2 separate regions of the Mus musculus genome follow, and region 1 is reported to be linked to region 2. The links are microRNA targets in miRTarBase. Many come from high-throughput screens and were not tested one by one. Region 2 holds a microRNA gene; the other region holds the end of a gene's coding sequence.

Evidence for each region. The annotated mature microRNA mmu-miR-331-3p reads GCCCCUGGGCCUAUCCUAGAA and lies in region 2 at 1,441-1,461, shown strand. An mRNA with a match to its seed (bases 2 to 7 or 8) in the 3' UTR can be bound and repressed. Matches are read on the target gene's strand: a 7mer-m8 pairs with bases 2 to 8, a 7mer-A1 pairs with bases 2 to 7 and ends in A, and an 8mer does both.
Region 1: the mRNA of Ms4a6c is a reported target of mmu-miR-331-3p. Seed matches in the 3' UTR shown: 7mer-A1 at 2,237-2,243.

Annotation. Positions count from the first base shown.
Region 1 is chr19:11,480,952-11,483,951 of GRCm38, reverse strand. Ms4a6c (membrane-spanning 4-domains, subfamily A, member 6C) reads right to left here. Exons shown (of 7, transcript NM_028595.4): 7 at 1,755-2,746. The coding sequence ends at 2,740. It overlaps BE692007 (a long non-coding RNA gene), which reads left to right and starts at 1,373. Exons shown (of 2, transcript XR_003952860.1): 1 at 1,373-3,000.
Region 2 is chr10:93,962,008-93,965,243 of GRCm38, reverse strand. Mir331 (microRNA 331) reads left to right here and starts at 1,381; the gene lies at 1,381-1,476. It overlaps Vezt (vezatin, adherens junctions transmembrane protein), which reads left to right. Exons shown (of 12, transcript NM_172538.5): 12 at 1-3,236.

The DNA.
Region 1 (3,000 bases), not on the chromosome of region 2:
ATACATTTCTATGAAAATTTCAAAAAAGAGAAGCTATTGTTCTTTTGTTTTTAATTGTTTAGAGATATTTTAGAGTCTTTTATAAAGATGATTAGTATTACATTAATTTTAGTACCTAAGTGGAAGTCATATAGTTCTGAAAGGAACTCCCAGATAGTGAGTATATAGTTCATAGCTACATAGATATACAGGCATTCAATAATGTCTAAGCTTTTAAGTACATAAGTCAGAACACAAACATGAACAATATCACATCAGAATGATATTTAATATTACAGAAAAAGCATAGAACAAAACTTGAAGAAATATGTTTACATTTTTATTTACATAAAAAATTAATAGCTGGGCTTAAATATGACAATATTTATAAATGAGAATAGTTGAACCCAACACTAACATGAAATTAGTAAAAGTGCTAAAAAATTACTAGCTAAAAATATATAGACTGTGATGGTCAAAGCCTACTTATACCACAGGAGTGCTCCAATGCCAGAATGAAGTTGGCTAAGAGGAGGCAGAAAAGAGATTGTATATTGCAAGTCTTTTGCCCAGGCTGTGACCGACACTGAAAAAAGACATGCCAACAGAATAGATAGGTGTAAAATGCACTAGAAGTGAATTTTCCATAGCTCTAATCATGTAATGTTTCTGTATCAGGACACTAAATTCATGGAATAAGATTGGAGTGTCCTATCCTTCTTTCTTTTTAACATTCATTTGCAAATGATTGGTATAGTTTTCTTTAAATACTGAAATGAGTTGACTGTTGAAGCACCCTGAGCCTGAGGTTCACTTGCTGGCGAGGTTTTTGACTATTGCTTCCATTCCTTCACTTGTTATATAACCATTCATATTTTAGATTCTTTTATGGTAATTATTCTTGGGTAGCTTTCCCCAATTTATATCTTTCTACTGTTTGTTTTCATTTCTTTTAATTGTATAAACTGGTTCTCTATTTGACTTTAAGTGCTTATAGTCCCTGTAGAGTTGATACGGATGTCTTCTTGTTTCATAAAAGGTTCGGAAATTTTGATGACAACAGTGATGGCTGAGGTAGAATGTGGATGTAGTAATGAAAACATCAACTGAGAGTTCTAGATGGTAGGCCTTCCTTCCCTGAAGGAGGAGTAGTTACATGATCAGTAGTAGGTAAGGACTGGGGACATGTCTCAAGGAAAGACTCTCCTCTTATACAATTGCCTTTAGGCAAAAGGAGGAGGAGGAAGAGGAAGAGGAGGAGGAGGAGGACAAATATATTTTATTTGGGGCTCAAATAGACCTTCATAGCTTATAGAATATGATCCTAAATGTATTGTCATTCCCCACATTCCATATTTTACTATTAATTTCATTTTAAACATATTTTATGTTTTATGGGTATTTTACAAGGATGTATGTCTGTGTGTGTTCTATATGTGTGTCTACTGCTCACCGAGTCCAAAAAAGGATGTCAGATCACCTGGAACTGGAGTTTTAGATGTTTGTGAGCTGCCACGCAGATGCTGGTAATAAAACTCATGTCCTTACAGGACCAAAACCAGTAAGTGCTCTTAACTGATGAGACATCTCTCTAGCCTCTTATAAGAAGTGAAGAAATGCCTCTTATTTGTTTGTGGCAATCCTAGAAATAAATGTTATCTGGTACCTCCAAAATGCATTGCTAAACTTTGAGTGTTTATTCAGATCCAGTTTAATACACACACACACACACACACACACATACACACACACACACTGACAGAGATATATTCCTATTTGTCTTTCCCATGCTTTTATTGGTTGATAGAGAACAAAAGAATATCAAACAAATGTGTTTACATATCACAGGGGACTTGATCTGTGCATAAAAACAAAATAACAACAAAAGCCCTTACATATAGAACATACAATCAAAAAAGACTTTATTTTGAACCAACAGCATGAATACTCTTGAGACTTCATTGCATGCCACTAGTTTCTATGCACTAGTCAATAAAATTGATATGAGAGAAGACCCACGTCATAGCAGAGATTCTGAATACAAAGACTGCTAATGGTTAACTGTTGCTGTTAATTGCAGGGGGCAAGAAAATGTTGTCCCTTTGCTCCACTACAATGGCCTGAAACATTCTGTTTGGTTTTCTTTCTTTCTTTTTTTTTATTACGTATTTTCTTCAATTACATTTCCAATGCTATCCCAAAAGTCCCCCCCCCCCCACTCTCCTACCCACCCACTCCCATTTTTTGGCCCTGGTGTTCCCCTGTACTGGGGCATATAAAGTTTGCCTGACCAATGGGCCTCTCTTTCCAGTGATGGCCGACTAGGTCATCTTTTGATACATATGCAGCTAGAGTCAAGAGCTCTGGGGTACTGGTTAGTTCATAATGTCTGTTTGGTTTTCTAAGAAAGGCCACCATTTGTAGGTCTGGGCTTTGGCTGAAGCCAAGGTCATGAAAATCAGTAGGGTGCCAGTAATACACACATTCAACTTATACTGGTGCCCACTGTATGAACAGTCTACATTTTAAGTAGCAAGCATTGCTACCCTGTGATGGTTGGATTTTCTGCATTATCATGAAGACATATCCTCTGCTGTATAGTTCCCACTTGTTTCGGGTATTTTGTTTTTTTGTTTTTTTTGTTTTGTTTTGTCTTGTTTTGTTTTTCTTAAAAAAAACCAATCGTTCCTCATATGCACAGTTACAAAGTGCCTTTGATTCCACATTGGCTTCATTATTGGAGTTATAAGACAGAAAAAATCACATTCTAGAACAAAGAAAATATGTGGTTTCAGGTTATAAATGAATATTATATGTATATGTTTATACGTACATATGTGTATGTATGGAGGAACATAGATACGTAGATACAAATGATACAACTTCATTCAGTGTTGTAGATGTTCCATGATGAGAATAGCACACCTTATGTGATGCACATATTTGATGTATATCATCTCCTCTTTGTTCTGCACTCTAATTAAGGATCTGGTCAGAGCAAAGCTTTTTTGTTCAGTTAGT
Region 2 (3,236 bases):
TGATTCATCAGTGTTAACTCAGTGGCAGAAGATCCACTGTCATTCAGTAGTTGGCATGCCTAAATTAGCCTTCAGTGTATAAAATAAGCAAGATTACATTTTCCAATAATACTAGACTGTCTAGAAGTGGCTCTCCTAACATCTGCTTAGTTGTACCGTTTATGTGCTGTGCTTTGCTAACCATGGGACTCGCTGTCATCATATACAGAGTGAGTAGTGTGTCAGTCTATTTTATTCTCATGCTTCATGGAACTCACTCTCATTACATTCAGCGTGGATGCTGTATCAGACTTTCATAATCATGCTTCATGTGGCTGCTCTCCAGTTACCCATGTTATGGAAGGGAATTATGATATAATAATTGTAAGAAGAATGGTCCAAACCAGTTCCTTGTATTGACACCATTGTAGAAGAGACAGTGATGGCAGACATGATTGGTGCTTCTCTCTGAGTAAGCTGTTAGAGAAGCACAATTCTACCCAGTGCAATTGCTGTAAACCAAAAAGAAGGAGTTCATACCGGGGTTTACATAGGCAAGATTCAGCAGGAATTAGGAGGAATTAATTTCATACCTATCTTTAAATGTGTGATCAAATCTAGGTGTAGTGGCACATACCTTTAATCCCTGCACTCTGGAAACAGGCAGGCATATCTCTGATTTCAAGGCCAGCCTGGTCCACATAGTGAGTTCCTGACTGGCCAAGGTTTATATATATAGTGATGATTGTGTGATAGATTCTAATGCCCATGGTGTCTTTAAAATGCAGTCCATTAGAATCCACTTTAGTGTGTCAGCAGTGACATTAGTTTTATCCCTGTGTACTGAGATTCACTTAGCACATATGTTGCTCAAGTGGAAATGATGCTTAGGGTGTGTATACTTCTGATTATACAAGCTGAAAAATTGGACTACCTGTAGATAATGCTAAATAGATATTTTTTCTCACTTATTTCTTAAGAGTTTCTTAAAATAGATAGTATTATTTTAGGATTTATAACAGTTTTATAACATGTCCTAAAGACTGACTACATACAAATAAGTTTATTGTTGCAAATCTCTTCTAAAACTAAAGTATGTCCTTTGTAAGTTTGCTCTTTTACAATGACCTAAACAACTTCTTAGCCCGCTTTTCCTTCCAAGTTAAATGACTAAATTGACTCTGATTCTGAGTCCAAGTATGTTCTGCATTTTTCTGTACCTTCTGTTCAAGTCTGTGACTTAAAAGTGCTGAGGCACAGTACTGGTGTGTGACAATATATAGAAGGCTCCAAGAATGTCACTCCTATCCCTTAAAGGTTGGTGTGTGGCCCTGATCCAGCCCTGGAGGCCCACATGGGTGAGAAGCCCAGAAGCCCATGCAAGCTGAAAGCACTCCCAAGGAGTCTGGTTTTGTTTGGGTTTGTTCTAGGTATGGTCCCAGGGATCCCAGATCAAACCAGGCCCCTGGGCCTATCCTAGAACCAACCTAAACCCGTGCATCATTCCTGGAACACCCAGAGGATGAAGACCGAAGATAACTGAGGCTGACTACACATCCTGTACTCACCAAGATTCAGTTCTTATATATGTACCTATTGTTTAGCAAGCCCTGGCTGGTTAATCTGTCTGGAGTCAAAATAACAATATTTGGTAATAACAAAGTCTCCCGAGGCTGATACCCCAGTAGTTTCCTATGGTAGAAATTCTATGTGGTTGTTATTAATTCCCAGTGAGGAGAACTGGTCTTGTGATTTTTATCGTCAGATAAAACTGATTTAAATGTCTATTTTAAAAAGCAGCAATGTAGCCACAAAACCGTTCTCAAAACAGCCTTCTTCCAAACTGGACAAATTGTCTTTTCTTAACTACTTCCAGTGATGTCTAACCAGTCTCTGTCAGCTGTATGCTTTATTGGCACTTTCGGAACGGCAAGCATCTGTCTTCGTCTTCCCACTCTAATGCTGAGTGGCTCTAAGTTCTTGTTTCAGAAATTAGTATGTTTTCCCTGTCACTGGGTCTGCTGCGCAGCAGAGCTCCTTTTAAGGTTTCTGTGGCTCAGGACCATGAGTATGGTGAGGTAGTAGATGGTTAAGCCCGTGGATTTTGCAGCAGTATTGTGCAGAAGAAAATTTTAAGAACTTCAGTTTTCTTCCTGATCTAATAAATATATGTTATGACCTCATAATCTAGCTGGCATTACTAGAGTCAACTGTGTGTTTATTTGTTTTGATTTGGAAGACAAGAATTCTGAAAATGCATGAAGACCCAAACTGAAAAATTATGGTAAGCATTGACAATTTATGCTTTTGATGTTTTGTGCAGACTAATAAACTCTCCATACATAAGGAACTCAAAATCATGCATTCCTACCAATCTTTATCACACTACCAAAATTTACGTCACCCAGTCACAGTTCCAAATGGGCCTGGCGCCTATTGAGGCTCACCCGAAAAACTCAACTATTCTACACCATATTCATCCCATTTCTACCCCAAGTTTATGGGAATTTTTTTTATGCCACAGATTGAGTTTTGTGCTTCTCAGTGTTTTCTTCCTTGGAGTGTGTGCCTCATGAACACACTTACCTAAGAGATCAGCATTGCCTAGAATCCATGTGCACACACCAGGTTGATGTGTAATATGTTTTGTGAGTATTTTGGGGGCATTATACTCATTTACATCATAAATAGAGACCAAAAATAGAAATTATGGACTGTTTAATTAGGTTTGTTTTTTTGAGTCAGGACCTCATACCCTAGGTTGGCTTTGAACTTGCTGTATAGCTAAGGTTGGCCTTGAACTTCTGACCTTCCTGCTTTTACCTCCCAGGTTCTGTTACTGTAAGTGTGTACCACAGACCTGGCTCTGTATTTTTGTTGGTGGTGGTGGTTTTTGTTTTTGGTTTCGAGGCATTATGTAACTAACAATGACCGGCCTGGAACTTGCTGATCTTGAGCTTCTGACAATCCTCCTGCCTCCACCTCTAGAGAGCTGAGATTACAGACATGCGCCACCATTCTTGGCAAGGTTTGGCTCTTGAGTAAGGTTTTAAAGTATACTCAGTGGTAAAGCACTGGCTATGAGGTCTAGCTCTGAGACCCTCCACCTCCAAAGGGCCTTGGGATGGTTACTAATCTTTATATACTAGAACTTTGAACTCTCAATTCCCTACCCTAACTGAAGACTTATGGTTATAAAATCTGGGCCGGAGGGTGCTTTTTTGTTTAATTGCGATAAAGCATCAAAATTTTCACCA